Linked DNA regions of Canis lupus familiaris. The protein of the gene in region 3 binds, or shares a complex with, the protein of the main gene of each other region. Links are inferred from orthologs where the notes say so. Each region holds a gene or a part of one and is shown on either strand. Other genes may lie near its edges.

The links. The genes of interacting proteins can lie anywhere in the genome.
Region 1: RBM15B (region 3) and VIRMA share a complex: the UniProt entries of both Homo sapiens proteins name them as parts of the WMM complex. The link is inferred for Canis lupus familiaris from reciprocal best matches to the Homo sapiens genes RBM15B and VIRMA.
Region 2: RBM15B (region 3) and ZC3H13 share a complex: the UniProt entries of both Homo sapiens proteins name them as parts of the WMM complex. The link is inferred for Canis lupus familiaris from reciprocal best matches to the Homo sapiens genes RBM15B and ZC3H13.
Region 4: RBM15B (region 3) and METTL3 share a complex: the UniProt entries of both Homo sapiens proteins name them as parts of the WMM complex. The link is inferred for Canis lupus familiaris from reciprocal best matches to the Homo sapiens genes RBM15B and METTL3.

Annotation. Positions count from the first base shown.
Region 1 is NC_049250.1:39,921,639-39,925,576, forward strand, and holds the start of VIRMA (protein virilizer homolog), read right to left. Parts: upstream 2,801-3,938; 5' UTR 2,707-2,800; coding exon 2,644-2,706; intron 1-2,643. UniProt on the Homo sapiens protein: Associated component of the WMM complex, a complex that mediates N6-methyladenosine (m6A) methylation of RNAs, a modification that plays a role in the efficiency of mRNA splicing and RNA processing.
Region 2 is NC_049243.1:5,183,032-5,186,095, reverse strand, and holds the end of ZC3H13 (zinc finger CCCH domain-containing protein 13), read right to left. Parts: intron 2,794-3,064; coding exon 2,623-2,793; 3' UTR 501-2,622; downstream 1-500. UniProt on the Homo sapiens protein: Associated component of the WMM complex, a complex that mediates N6-methyladenosine (m6A) methylation of RNAs, a modification that plays a role in the efficiency of mRNA splicing and RNA processing.
Region 3 is NC_049241.1:38,597,518-38,601,817, forward strand, and holds the start of RBM15B (putative RNA-binding protein 15B), read right to left. Parts: upstream 2,801-4,300; coding exon 98-2,800; 3' UTR 1-97. UniProt on the Homo sapiens protein: RNA-binding protein that acts as a key regulator of N6-methyladenosine (m6A) methylation of RNAs, thereby regulating different processes, such as alternative splicing of mRNAs and X chromosome inactivation mediated by Xist RNA.
Region 4 is NC_049236.1:18,669,375-18,673,397, forward strand, and holds the start of METTL3 (N6-adenosine-methyltransferase catalytic subunit), read right to left. Parts: upstream 2,801-4,023; 5' UTR 2,682-2,800; coding exon 2,582-2,681; intron 1-2,581. UniProt on the Homo sapiens protein: The METTL3-METTL14 heterodimer forms a N6-methyltransferase complex that methylates adenosine residues at the N(6) position of some RNAs and regulates various processes such as the circadian clock, differentiation of embryonic and hematopoietic stem cells, cortical neurogenesis, response to DNA damage, differentiation of T-cells and primary miRNA processing.

The DNA.
Region 1 (3,938 bases), on a different chromosome or scaffold from region 3:
TCCAGCTATGTCACTTTAGGAAAGTCACGTAACCTCTCACACTCAGTCTCATCTATAAATTGGGGATAAAAATCTTTCAGAATTCTTGAAAGGATTAAAGATAGTGTATTTCAATATACTGCACTACACCTTGCACAAAATAAGCATTCAATAAATGCTGGCAATGATAACTGCCTACCCACTAACCTGGAACTTCCATTACATCTCACTTTTTCTTCTTGATTTGCCACCTGTAATTTTTCTGAACCATTTTAGGCATTACTGATCAATTAATTGACTTAATGTATTTTACTAGTCATTTAATTTGCTTGCTCAGAAACTATTTCCTACAAAATAAAGTCCATTTCCTTTGCTGAGCATTCAGGGAACTCCATGATGTGGCTTCAAACTGCCCATCAGCTGCCACTTCACTCTAGGACTTTTGGAATACTCCACAGAGGACTGGCTACTCCAGGACAATGCCCTGCTTTCTTATACACAATTGTGGGACATTTCCTCTTCCACCAAAGATCCAACTTCACATGACAACTACTTTGATGATGTCTTTCCTGATATTCTCAAATGAAGAGTCATCTCTCCCTCCACTGAAATTACATAGCCTTTGTTGGTAGCACCTAAAGGAGCTAAATAAATATTGACTGGGGTCCTAATGTCAGACACACACAGATTATAAACCCTGAGGCACCTGGCTGGCTTAGCAGGTGGAACGTGCAACTCTTGAACTCGGAGTCAGGAGTTCGAGCCCCACAGTGGGTGTGGAGCTTACTTTTTTAAAAAAAGAGAGGAGGGCAGCCCTGGTGACGCAGCGTATTAGCACCACCTGCAGCCGGGTGTGATCCTGGAGACCCAGGATGGAAGACGTCAGGCTTCTTGTATGGAGCTTGCTTCTCCCTCTGCCTGTGTCTCTGCCTCTCTCTGTGAATAACAAAATCTTTAAAAAATAAAAATAATAAATAAAAAATAAAAAAAAAAAAAGAGACAGCAGCCTGGGTGGCTCCGTGGTTTAGCGCCACCGGGCCCGGGGCCTGATCCTGGAGACCTGGGATGAGTCCCACACTGGGCTCCCTGCGTGGAGCCTGCTTCTCCCTCTGCCTGTGTCGCTGCCTCTCTCTGTGACTCTCGTGAATAAATACATAAAATCTTAAAAAAAAGAGAGAGAGAGAGGTGATAAACTCCAAGGGCTTCCCACTGCTTCTATATGCACTGACCACATTCTAACCCGGACCCTAATTTTGTGGCCCCAACCTCCAACACTTAGTTATAACTCCGTGGGAACAAACAGCTCGACATTCCACACCCCCCACAAGCCCTCGGCCTTCCCTCAGGACTCGGTTCAACCGTGAGCTCTACCGAGCCTCCCTCAATCACTGCCAGAACCGGCCGTCTCCTGGTCCTCGCTGTTTGTCTAAGAACCAGCGGAGCCACGCTCGACCCGTACACGCAGGAGTGAACCAACACTGATTTCCCGAAACTAGAAAGCCGCTGACTTCTCATATGCTTCTTTCACTTTTAATGGTTCTGCCTGTACACATGACGGGTTTGTTCTGATCCAACTGCTAACTCCAGGGGGTTTCGGGAGCCCCGCTGGCGTGCGGCCGCAGAGGACGGCCGTGGACCAAGACCAGGGGACAAAATGAAGAGACCAGGGCGCGCCCGGTGAGGGGGCTCCGCAGGGAGCGCCTGCCTCGGGCCCAGGGCGTGACCCCGGGGTCCTGGGATCGAGTCCTGCGTCGGGCTCCCTGCGTGGAGCCTGCTTCTCCCTCTGCCTGGGTGTCTCTCTCTCCCTCTCTCTCCCTCAGGAATAAATACATAAAATCATAAAACAAAGCGACCAACAATTTCACCGTTTGCAAGACGTGCGGGGGTCTCGATTTTTACACAGGAAACGGTCGGAAGAACCAAAGTCAGTCAACTTTTTATTTTGCCACACACAGCGTTACGGCCGCAGCCGCACTGTCTCCGACCAGGGCCGAAGGGTCGCTCGGGGCCCACGTCGGAGGAGCCGCGTGCGCCCCGGGTCCCCGTGGTCCCGCCGCGGGCTCCGTGAGCGCTCCCGCCGGCCCTCGGGGGCCGCTGACAGGCCGCTCCATGCCGCGCAGAGGTCGCGGGGTCGGCCCCTCCGGGACGACCGCCGCGCGACACCGCCGCCGCCGCGCCTCAGCCGCGGCCACGCTCCGCTCCGCTCCGGCCCCTCCAGGGCGAGCGCTCCCCACGCCACGGGCGTCCGTCCGAGCGAGCGGACTCTTCTTGAGCCCAGTGCTGAGGTGAGGTGAGGCGGGCGGGCGGGCGGGCGGCGCAGCCCCGAGCGCACCGCTGAGGGGGGCGCCCCCCGCTCCGCCCCCGGCGCTGTCAAGCCCCAAGCCGTCCGAGCCCCCGCCGGGCTGCCGCGGCCCACGGCGCTCCCACAAAGGGGCCAGGCGGGCTGAGCGGCCACCGCGCCCCGACCCCGCGCAACGGGGGGGCTCCCGCCGCCCGGCCTCAGACGTGGTGCCCACACCCAGGCGGGCGGGGGGCGGGGAGGGCGCCGCGTCTGTGGGGAGCCCAAGCGGCAGCCGGCGGGGCGAGGAGTCGCGGCGCGCCCCACGGCCCCCTGAGGGTCCCCGCGGCGAGAAGCGGCGTCGGAGTCAAGTCCGGGAGCCTTACCTCAGCGCTTGGGTGTTTAAAAGTGTCTAAAAATAGCAGCTCCATCGCCGAGTCCACCGCCATGTTCGCGGCGGGCGGGGGCCCAGGGGGAGGACTTCCGGGGCAGCGCTCCAGCCGCGGCGACGGCGGCTCGCGAGACGCGGAGCCCGCAGCACTTCCGGTGCCCAGCGCGCCGGCGCCGCGAGCCTCGGCCTGCCCGGAAGTGCGTCGCCGCGGCGAGCCCCGCCCCCGCCTTCTGCCGCGCGGCCGGGGGCGCCCGGGAGCTCGGGGAGGGGAGGGGCGGGGCGGGGCGGGGGGCGGGGGGAGGGCTACGGGCTACGGCGTCGCCGGCGGCCCACGGCCTCCACAGCCTGGCCTTTTAGCGCGTTGCCGGCCCGCGACGGCCTGGGGGGCGGGCCGAGTGCCCCGCGGGCTGCGGGGAGGGGGGAGGAGGGAGGGGAGGACGGAGAAGAGACGGGAGGAGGGGGGGAGGGAGGAGGGGTGAAGGTGAGGGGCAGGGGAGGAGGGGGAAGAGAGGGGAGGACAGGAGGGATGGGGAGAAGAGGGGAGGATGGAGAAGAGAAGGGAGGGAGGAGGGGGAGAAGGGGAGGGAGGGGGAAGATATGGGGGAAAGAGGGGTGGAGGAGGAGGGGGGAAGAGGGGAGGACAGGAGGGATGGGGAGAAGAGAGGAGGATGGAGGAGGGAGAGGGGAGGAGGGGCGAAGATGAGGGACGAGCGGAGGGGGGAAATGGGGAAAGAGGGGAGGAGGGGGAGGGGGAAGAGAGGGTGGACAGGAGGAAGAGGGGAGAAGGGAGAAGAGACGGGAGAAGGGGGAGGAGGGGGGAGAGGGGAGGGAGGATGGGGAGAAGAAGGGAGGGAGAGGGGAGGAGAGGGAAGACAGGGGGGAAGAGGAGGGAGGGGGAAGGAGGGGAGGGATGGGGAGAAGAGGGGAGGATGGAGAAGAGAAGAGAGGAGGGGAAGAGAGGGGAGGGAGGAGGGGGAATAGGGGAGGGAGGGAGAGGGGAGGAGGGGGGAAGATAAGGGGAAAGAGGAGGGAGGGGGAGAACAGGGGGAGGGAGGAAGAGAGAGGAGGATGGAGAGAAGGGGAGGGATGGGGAGAAGAGGGGAGGATGGAGAGGAGAGGGGGGAGGGGGGAAGAGGGAGGAAGAGGGGAAGCCGCCCACGCCGGACACACGGGCGGGTGGGGCGGGGAGGTTCACTGAGCGAGGCTGAAGACTAAGGTTTTTTTTTAAGAAAGAGAAAACCTGTTATCTCAAAGAGGAGAGTTTTTTTTTTTTTCTTTTTCTCATCTGCA
Region 2 (3,064 bases), on a different chromosome or scaffold from region 3:
GTTTTTGTTTTTCAGAGAAAAATTGTTCTGTATGTAGCTGCAGATTTGGTGTGTCTGTGGGAGGAGGTTGAGTTCAGGATCTGCCTTTTATTACCATCTTGAAGTGGAAACCACGTATCTTTTAAAATGCGTTGAGGCTCAGCTGCTGGCTCTTCTGAGACTCGAAAGCATCACTGACCATACACATAACATAAACCCTAATCTTTACCCAAGTGAACAGTAACACATAATGTGGGATATTCTGCTAATGGCACAAAACTTCAAGTTAATGAAGTCAAGTCACAGAATCCTATTGTGGCCACAGGGCAGGATGAGGAAGAGAGCCTGCAGTTACAGAACAGGATCAAGAGAAGCGACACATTAGATTTTTCAGCAGATCAAGTTCCAAGTTATGTAACTATACCCTAATTTTTGTAAAATAAAAAAGTTATCTATTGTCGGTTAATACAAACCAAATGGTGAGGACAGCTGCCAAACAAATCCAACAAGTGACTCAGTGGTCCATGTAAACACGCATTTATTTGGGATTGCAGACATATTCTTGCCAACCCTTTTATTACCAGCAGCTGGAGTCCAGTTGTGCAGTTACGGGAAATGGACAAACTTGATCTGTCAGTTATGAGGCAACACACCTTCAACTGTACTAGCAAATAACTTCTAGACCAGCAGATGTTTTCAGGAATATTGATTTCATTGAGACTTTAATTATGGCCTGAGAGCTTTTATGGAAAACTCACTAAGATTTGCTTTAATGAATTTTAAGGGTCTATGATTAGCAATACATAGAATGTTTGGATTAAAAAAAATAGGAAACCTGACAACACTATGTTCCTACTGGGAACATTAAGCTCTGAATATCTGAATATTGTGACTCAGTGTTCAGAGGATTAGCTCCCCATAGCTCTTCTTTCACGATGACGTAACAAAAAAGAAACTCAAACCTGAAAAGGCAACAAATTTGACTATATGGCAAATTTAAGTACATCGTTTTCAATCGTTTTCATTCTGTAAATACACATCTTGTGAAAGATTCCTAAGGTCAGCTGACAACACAGGAAAAACCATTATTTTTGTTCCACAATTCTGGGAAATAGGATTAGAAGTTCTAAGACTTTAAATGCTTGTGCTGCAGTGAATATTATCTAGCGTGATTAGGAAGTAGTTTTTAAAAGGATATTTATTCTTCAGGGTCGTTAAAGACTTTTTTTTTAATTATTTAAAATATCTACCAATTGGAAAAAGAAACAGACACCAGGAAAATCTGGTTACACTCCCCACCCCTGCTTGCCATTGTCTCATATCATACATGCTTTCAAAGTCATTTGAAAATGTGACCATTTCCTGTGCTGGGTCAGTTATCGGATATAAATTACATATACAGTGAATGTTTCTTGAGCAGAAATTTTACAGCAGTAACACTGTTACCTTTAGAGGATATAAAACTACTGACACAGGTAACACAGGATTACAGTTTTAACAAAACCTGAGAGAGCCAATGGGGGAAAAAATTAATTTTGATTGGTTTCCTTTATTATTACCTCTGTCTGTCCACAAATTCTGCAGCCTGGAGTCCATTTTAAATCCTTCTAAAAGTCCACTTATGAGTTACATATATACTCACAGAATAAAACAAATACCGTAATTTTTTAAAAAAAAATTTCATTTTACATTTTATAAGCTAGACAGTTCAATGTAATCAAAGGTTATAGCTCTGAAAAATATGACGGTTATGGATTTTAAAGCTCAGATGACAAAGGTTTGTTAACTCCCGGTTTGTTTCAAGTATTACTGAGCTGTATTTAAAATATATCCTCAACTCCTATTGCATTATCGAGCAGTATAATATTTGAAGTATGAAACATAATGTTGATGACAAATGTTTCAGAACATCAGGAATAAGATCAATGAAGAGCAAAGTGAATCTAGAACAAGGAAAGGAAAGGTACATTTATTAAAAATAAAAACAGTAGACAGTCTCTGGTAACAAACAAAACCATATGGAATCCAAATACGTCCAATATACATTGTAACAATACACATATATTTTTAAAAAAACAAAGATCCATTAGTAATTTTTTTTTTTAGAACTTTAGAAAAGCAGAAAAGGACTTTGGCTCCCTCCTACTGGAGGTCTGCCCACGAACACAGACAGCATGCAGGACCAGCATCCACTTTCAAGAGTTCCGTACAGCACAAAGCTGTAGTGTGTGTATTCATTCTGCGAACACATGGTTTCTGAATAAAATCAGTTTCTGCTGGGATGATCCAAAACCTATCAGTGGCTCCATTTCATAAAAAATATTCGTAGGTTGCAAGAGCAGTGGCAACTGTTTTCCAAAGTCTTCAGTTTTAACAAAAGATAAACTGCTGAATCTAGATGTTTTCACATTATTTCACATGAATATCAAGTACTGTGTAAAAATTTATGTAAAATCGTAAGTTAGCCAAAACTAGTGTCTTTAAACTTCATATCAAAGTTGTTCTTCACCCTTTTACCACGGCTGATAAATCTTTTCTGTCTTTGTCATGAATGATGTTTGCCATCAAAACCAAAGAACTCTGAAAAAAAGAGTATGTAACTCTGAAGGAACACAGAACCAAAAATGTCACTGGACTCCGGTCCTAAGACACACACAGTTCCTGTTGGACACTGGGCTGTGGGAGCTTATTATCATCAGCCTTCTCGTGCCCTGGGGCGTGACAAGTAGTTTTCTTCTTAAATAACCGAAGACTCAATCGCAGCAACTCGTTGTCCACCACTGGGGCATTCGTATAAGCTTGTTTTACGGTGCCCTGATTTGAAGAAAACAAAAACAAAACGTAAAAGACGTATGTTACTGGTTGACAGTAGGACAGACAGGCAAGGTAACTTCTCTTTAACTTCTATTTAAAAACAAATTTAAGAAATGTTTTTCAGACTCAACGAACCTTAGAAACGAGAGCAATCTTTAAAAGGTGTCCCCTGCTTAAAGCAGGTCTCTTTGGCAGTCCCTGCCGTCAGCCAACTAGTGTTCTCTCCAATGACAGAACAAACCATCACCGCACGCTCCTGAGCTCGCTGAAG
Region 3 (4,300 bases):
AATTCAAACCAAGGGGTAGGATGTGGGGAAGGGTGGTGGTCGGATTTTAAAAGAACTGCTTTTGTGACACAAACGCGGAGCTGGAGCCAGGTCTGGGCTAGGCAGTGTCTCTTACTATAACTATCACCATGTGTTCCTCCTCTAGCTTGCCCAATGTCCTCAGTGCTGACTGGAGGTACTGCTGTGAAAAGTCGCAGGGCGGGAAGGCGTAGAGCATGCCTGTGCTGTCTCTGCCCTTGGACCCACCCACCGGCAGGCTGATCACCCCTGCGGCCTGCTTCTGTTTCAAGTAGGAGACCAGGTTCCTGAGAAGCCGCCTCTGTAGGCCTGGCTCCACCGTGGGCATCCCCTCAGTGCCAGGCCCGCTGGGGGTCGCCTGGGTGGCTAGGAGCACCGCATAGCCATTGGGGCTCCCCTGCTTGATGCGCCGCGTGACCTCATCGAGCTTGGGCTGGTCCAGCCGCAGACGCTGGGCAATCTTCAGCTGGGTCAGCTTGCTCCCGGAAGTGTGGTCTTTGAGGAGGCCCGTGATAACCCCTTGGTCCCCCTCTAGGATGTGCATAGATGTTGGGAAGCAGCTGTTTTTCAACACTAGGAGCCCATTCCAACCCAGCTGCAGTGTCTGGGCATACTCGGAAAGATTCTTGAGCTTTTTGGTCTCGTGTTTTGGCTCTTCCAGAGGCTTGGGTTCAGCCTCAGCGGTCCGATGATTGCGCTCGCTCTCTCGGGTCTTCTTCCCATGGGAAGAGTCTGGAGCCTCGTGGTGGTGGTGGTGGCTCCGCTCCTCAGCCCCGTGTCTGCTGTTGCTGAGGGAGTTGCTGCTCGACTCCTTGGTCCCATCACTGGAGTGATTCTCCTTACGGCTGCGCTCAGGAGTGCGGTCAGAGCCCCGGTCCACCTGTGGCCCACCACCCTTGGTCCTGCTCCTCTCCTCGTAAGGGGAGTGGGTTGTCCTCCCGCGGTCACTGGAGAGGCTCCTCCGCTTCCGCCTCTCCTCCCAGGGCTTGGGCAGGCCCCGGTCCCCATCTCCCCAGCGCTCCCCACTCCGGCTGCGCACTGAGCGGCTGTAGCCCTCCAGGCTGTTTCGGCGGTCAGAGCTTTTACTAGGGCTGGTCCAGTCCCCTTCCAAAAAGGTCCGGTCCCGGTCTGAGTACAGGAGGTGTGGGGGGGTCCTATCCCGCACCCGGAGGTCTGCATCCAGGCTTCGATGCCGGGTATATCCATCTGGGAGCAGCTCATAATGCACAGGGAGGGGTGAGGGCTGGTACTGCTGGGGATACCGGGTCTCCTCTGCTTTGGCAAAATCCACACGCAGCCTTCGGTCTGGACCACCCAAGGGAAAGCCCCTCATTTTTGCGCAGGCGGCCTGAGCTGCATCCAAGCTCTCATACTGGATGTAAGCAAAACTATCTCCCTTGACGTGATCAATGGTCCGAATGCTCCCGAAGCGGTCAAACTCCCGGGCCAGAGCGGCCAGTGAGGTGTTAGGTCCCAGGCCGCCCACCCAGAGGCGAGTGGTGGGGTTGGCCTTGCCATAGCCTATCTTAATGGGGTTTCGGCCAATCACCCGGCCCGACATGGCCACCTTGGCCCTGTGGGCCATGTCTAGATTCTGGAACTTGAGGAAGGCATACGCACCACCCTGGCCACGGGCAGGTCTCTTGATGACCACCTCCTCAATGATGCCGTACTTCTCAAAGGCCCGCCGCAACTCCACCTCGGACACGCTGTGGTCCAGGTTCCCGATGAAGAGGTTGCGCGTGGCCCGCTGGTCGTCCTCAGGCATCAGGTCCTCCTCGCACACGGCGGGGTAGCCGTATGGGCGCCCGCGGTCGTCGTACAGACCGTAGTAGTCCAGGGCCCGCTCCCGGGACAGTCCTACTGCGGCGGCGGCGGCAGCATCCAGGGCAAAGGCCGCCGCGGCGTGGCGGGCGCGGGGCTCCCGTAGCGGAGGGGCGGCCACTGGGGACAGAGAGCGCTGCTTGTACTGGTAGCCGCCGTGCAGCGGCAGGTAACCGAGCGGGTCGGCGGGCGCGGGCGGCCCTGGGGGCGGCGTGGAGGCGGCAGCACTGCTGCTGCTGCTTCGCCGGCTGCTCCCGCCGCCGCCGCCGCCGCCGCCGCCGCCGCCGCCGCCGCCGCCACGCAGGTACACCGGCTCCACCTTGAGCGGCCGGTCGTAGAGCAGCAGCTGGCGGGCCAGGGCGTGCTGGCGGGCCTCGCGTGCGTCCTGCGGGTGCCGGAAGTTCACGTAGGCCACGCGGCCCAGCTCTGGCGTGTGCGACAGGCGCAGGCTGATCTCGCCAAAGCGCTTGAACTGGTGGAAGAGTCGGTCCTCGAGGTGCTCGGCGGGCAGCGCGGGGCTCAGGCTGCTGATGAGCAGCGTCTTGTACTCGGGTGCGGCCGCCGATGAGCCGGGCCCCGCGGGCTCGGCCCCGGGCGGTGGCGGAGGTGGCGGCAGCGGAGACGCGCGAGGTGATGCACCTGAAGCGCCTGGGTCCCCGGAGGCCTTGCCACCGCGTCCCCCGCCGCCAGCGCCCGAGCCCGAGGAGCGGCCGCTGCTCGCACGGTGATTCGCGTCCCCGGCGCCGCGGCCGTCGCGATGCCCACCCCCGCCGCCCCCGCTACCGCGGGGTTTGTCGCGGGCCCGCGTTGGAACGGGATGCTTGGCGCCGCCCGAGGCCTTGTGCGCCGCCCGCCGCCCGCCCGCCTCCGCCTCCCGTTCGCGCTCCCGCGGCCGCTTGGCCGACGATGACGAGCCGCGCCCGCTCGGGCTCGAGTCTCGCTCGCTCTGCCTCTTCATGGCGCCGGCGCGGCGGGCGGGCGGGCGGCCCGCAGGCCCCTCACAGCGGCGGCGGCGGCGGCCGAGGAGGCAGCGCCCCCGGCGCCGCCATCTTGGACAAAAGGACTCGGCGCGGCGGTGGCGGCGGGGCGGGGCGGGAGCGGCGCCCAGGGGCTGGGCGTCGCGTTATCAGGCAGCGCCGGACTGTCACGTGACCCCGCGGCGGGCGGGGCGAGAGCTACGCCGGGTGTGCGTCATCGGACTGCGCCGCCCCCATCACGTGACCCCCGGGGGCGGGGCAGGGGCCGGGAGGCCGGCGGGCGATCGCGGCCCGGCATTGAGCTCTGGCGCCACCGCGCGGCCTTGGGGCCGGGCTGCGCGGAGATGGGGGCCATCGCGAGAGCGGGCCTGGTTCGCTCCTGCCGGCCCTAGGCTTCCCGCTTCCGGCGCGGGGGCCCGCGCTGCGTGGAACAGGAGTGGCAGTGCCTGTGGGCGCCGGGCTCCCGACTCTTGACCAGCGGCCTCTTTACGTAGCATCCCCCGACTGGTCCGGGGTCGACGGTGAAGAGGATCTAAGCACGCCGCTCCCTCAGCCCTGTCCAGCGCCCACGCCCCACAAAGCAGGGATCCTCCGCATTCAGGTATCACCTGCTGCGGTCCCTGGAAAGGCCGCGATGACCAAGGGCTGTCCATGCAAAAGGCGAGGCTCAGCAGGGTTGAGGCGGAGAAACCCGCGCCAGCAAACCCGCCGTTTACCGAGTGCGAATTGGCGCCACTAGGCTGCGGCCCTCCGAGCAGTGGGCTGAGGGCAGGGCCACGGAGCCAAGGGCGAAGAGAAGGCCAAACCCAGTCGTTAGCACAGCTTGCTACGCTTACCTCTTGAGGCTGACCAGTGCCCTTCTATCCACTTCGAGGGCCAGGACCTCTTCTCCAGAGGTGAGGTGCGGGGGAGGCGGAAAGAATCCTGCCTGGGTGCCCAAGCGGCCTTGGGATGGTTTTATTCCCGAGAGCTGCTGGAAGCATCGCAGAACCTGACCCTTCTGCACGGAAACCGTGGGGGCGGGGAAGAGGCTGCCAGTTCCTCCTCCTCCTCCTCCCATGACCATACATAAAGCAGCTCCTGGAGCAGCTGAGGCAAGTGCAAGGGGAAAGCTCTTAAAAGAAACATCTGTAACATTGTCTGATCTTAACTCCCCTTCCAGCAGGAATGAGTTAACCCTTTGTAGATAACCGTGGGGGTCAGCCCTAGAGTGGGAGTGGTTGGGTTGTTTTTCTGTTCCTGTGTTCAGTGTGGCCTGTAGGCCATGGCCATCTACTTCCTAAGATTTCTATCGCCAGCCGTGGATTTTCCCAGCACCTATAAGGGGCTCAGGACACACTGCGCTGGTCACATCTCAACAGCCCACCTATTTTCCCCAAACAAGAAAGTCTCGGCCTGAGGAGTAGCTTAGCGTTCTTGCTTTCCTCTTAGACATCGTGATGAGGATGTGCTGAATGTGGGGCTGCTGTTGGTTGTCATTT
Region 4 (4,023 bases), on a different chromosome or scaffold from region 3:
TTTGCTGGCCTGTTTGGTACTGTGGGAATAGGGATAAAACACACGATATAAACTAGCCTATCACTGTTCGTTCTTTCTGGAGGGAGGGAGTGGGGGGAGGGAGGGAGGGAGGGGAGGGGGAGGGAGGGAGGGAGGGCGGGAGGGAGGTGCGGGCGAGGGAGGAGGAGGGAGGGCGTGAGGGAGGGACGGGGAGGAGGAGGGGGGAGTGGTGTAGGAGGTGAGGGAGTCGGAGGGGGGGGAATATGTGCGGCCGGCCTCCATTACTTCCTTACTTCCTCTTCTTCCTTCCTTCCTTCCTTCCTTCCTTTCTTTTTAAAGACTTTATTTATTTATTCATGAGAGACACACGGAGAGAGGCAGAGGCACAGGCAGACGGAGAAGGAGGCTCCATGCGGGGACCTGATGCGGAACTTGATCCCAGGACCCTGGGATCATGACCTGAGCCAAAAGGAGATGCTAAATCACTGAGCCACCCGGGCGGCCCCTGTTCTTCCTTCTAATCAATTTGGTTATTCCCAAGAATCTATTTCTTTGAGTCACAGAGAGAAAGAGCATGAGCTGGGGTTGGGCAGAGGAAGAAGTTGACTCCTTGCTAAGCAGGGAGCCTGATGTGTGGCTCAGGTCCTGGGATCCTGAGCCACACAGGCACCCTCCAAAGAATCTGTATCTTTGAGCATTAGGATTCTTAGGAAAACATGAGACACACTCTGCTGGTTTATTAATCAAGATTTCATGTAAGATATAACCAAAGGTGGGGATCCCTGGGTGGCTCAGCGGTTTGGTGCCTGCCTTTGGCCCAGGACATGATCTTGGAGTCCCAGGATCAAGTCCTGCATCGGGCTCCCTGCATGGAGCCTGCTTCTCCCTCCTCCTGTGTCTCTGCCTCTCTCTCTATGTCTATCATAAATAAGTAAATAAATAAGTCTTTAAAAAAATAAATAAAATAGAATGTATTCAGATCATTAATGACTACAAATACCATGGACAAAAAAAATCATTGGGAGACCTTCCTTAGTTTGGCTTTTTTTTTGTTTTGTTTTTTGGAGATTTATTTATTCATGAAAGACACACTTTTCCCTTCCCTGTCTGCAGTTCGTGGATTCATCCAGTCATTTTACATATTATCATAGCGTCATTCTGAATTTTTATAAGCATCAATCCTTGATCCCCAACTAAATTCTGATTCCGAGAGCAGGAAGGATGTGTCTAACTTTGTCTATCTACACATATGCCCACAGTGCAAATACTCAAGACATGTTTGTCTATTATGATGTCAGAGTCCTGACAAGACACCTATTTTCAGCGGCCATAACGCAAGCACACGCACCGAGAGGGAGCAAGGCCCGATGTAGTGGGGGGACTGCATCCTACTGCAGCCTGGGACACATTGCCACAGGGTGGCAGGGATTCGCTCTCCTTGCTCAGCCTCCTGGCTGATTTGCCTTAAATGATCCAGAGCTTGTGCTGGGGAGAGAGGCGGCTGCAACTGCACAATCTTTTGAGGCTCCTTCAAGTTTTAGGATGACAAGTGGCAAGAGGAGGGCAGGAAAAGTTTAAAAACAGGAGAAACACTGTGGCGCTGGGGTGGCTCAGCGGTAGAGCACCTGCCTTGGGCTCAGGGCCTGACCCGGGGTCCTGGGATGGAGTCCCGCGTTGGGCTGCCTGCGTGGAGCCTGCTTCTCCCTCTGCCTGTGTCTCTGCCTGTGTATGTGTCTCTCAGGAATAAATAAATAGAATCTTTTAAAAATCATAATAATAATAAATAAAAACATAAAACATAGGGCAGCCCTGGTGGCCCAATGGTTGGGCATCTGCCTTCAGCCCAGGTCGTGACCCAGGGTCCTGGGATGGAGTCCCGCGTCCGGCTCCGTGCGGCTCCCTGCGTGAAGCCTGCTTCTCCCTCTGCCTGTGTGTGTCTCTCAGGAATAAATAAATAAAATCTTTTAAAAAATCACAATAATAATAAATAAAAACATAAAACATAGGGCAGCCCTGGTGGCCCAGCGGTTGGGCATCTGCCTTCAGCCCAGGTCGTGACCCCGGGTCGCGGGATCGAGTCCCCCGTCGGGCTCCCCACAGGGAGCCTGCTTCTCCCTCTGCCCGCATCTCCGCCTCTCTCTCTGTGTCTCTCGTAGATAAACGAATAAAATCTTTAAAAACAAAACCCATAAACATCCATTTTCAGGTTTCTGCTCGAGATGCAAACGGCCGGGGCAGCGCGGGGACCCCAGGCCCCGGCAGGTCTGCGGCCCGAGCCGTCCTCACCTCACGGCGCCCACAGGGGCCAGGCGGCGGCCGCCGCAAGCCGTCGCCCTCCCGGGGGAGAACGAGGCGCCACAGCAGAAGACAACGGGGGCCTTCCTGCTCCGGGGGGCGGGCGCGAGAGGCGCGGCACAGGCGACGCACGGCGGCCTGGGGGCCCGGGGGCCGAGTACCGCCCCCGCGCAGCGACCCCGCGCAGCGACCCCGCGGGCGTGAAGGCCGCGGGGAGCGCCGCGGCCGAGGGCTCTCTCGCTCCGGGCCCCTGCCCCCGCCCTCGCCCCCGCCCCCGCCCCGCGCCGGCCCACGCCCCGCGCCTCACCCAGGTGCCCCGAGTCCTGCTTCCGCCTCCGCTGCAGCCTCTCTCGCAGCGAGTCCAGCTGCTTCTTGTGGGCCTGGATCGAGCTCCACGTGTCCGACATCCTCGTCTTTCGGCCGAAGGCGCCTCGAATCCGGCGCGCGGGCTAGCGCCTCCCGGGGCGGCCGCGGGAATCGTGGCGGCCGCGCGCCGACGCCCCCGGGCTCGCCGGAAACGGCCGGGGCCACGCGCTCGCCCGGCACTCACCTTCCGTTTCCCGCCCGCTGGGGAGGAGAATGCAGAGACACCTGAGGTATTGGCAGCAGGGCGGAAATACTTTCTAGGGGCGCTCTCTGCGTCTTCCGGGCGCCGCGAAGCTGTGGTTGCCATGTCCGTGCCTGGCAGCGCCGCCATGTTGCTTATACAGGCGCGCGGCCATGTTGCATCTGAGGGGCTGAGGCATTCAGGCAGCTCCGGTAGAGCAGCCCGGGCAGCACACATCTGCATTATTTTTTCTCAGATTTTATTTTATTTTTTTAAGATTTTACTTATTTATTCATGAGAGACACACAGAGAGAGGCAGAGACACAGGCAGAGGAAGAAGCAGGCTCCATGCAGGGAGCCCGACGCGGGACTCGACCCCGGGTCTCTGGGGTCATGCCCTGGGCCCAAGGCAGACACGCCACCGCTGAGCCCCCCGGGCTGCCCAAAGATTTTATTTTATTTTTATTTTTTTATTTTTTCCAAAGATTTTATTTTAAGCAATCTCTACACCCAGAGTGGGGCTCAAACCTCCAACTCCGAGGTCAAGAGTCACATGCTCCACTCACTGAGCCAGCGGGTGCCCTGGTTGTTTTTAATGGAGCCTTGTGAATGCAAGCTTTGGGAGCCCCTGATTTGTCAAATGTCTACAGTTGGCCCTTGAATGACATGCGTTATTAAAAAAAAAAAAAAAAAAAAAAAAAAAAAGGATCCCTAGGTGGCGCAGCGGTTTGGTGCCTGCCTTTGGCCTAGGGCGCGATCCTGGAGACCTGGGATCGAATCCCACATCGGGCTCCCGGTGCATGGAGCCTGCTTCTCCCTCTGCCTGTGTCTCTGCCTCTCTCTCTCTCTCCCTCTGTGACTATCATAAATAAATAAAAATTAAAAAAAAAAAAAAAAAAAGGCAGCCCCCGTGGCTCAGCGGTTTAGCACCTGCCTTCAGCCCAGGACGTGACCCCGGGGTCCCGGGATCGAGTCCCGCGTCGGGCTCCCTGCAGGGAGCCTGCTTCTCCCTCTGCCTGTGTCTCTGCCTCTCTCTTTGTGTGGGTCTCTCATTAATAAACTTAAAAAAAAAAAAAAAAAGAATGACGTGTTTGAACTGCAGGGGCCCACTTATATGTGGAATTTTTTTCTCAATAAATACAATTTTTTTTGAAGATTTATTTATTTATTCATTTAGAGAGAGCGAGAGGCAGAGACACAGG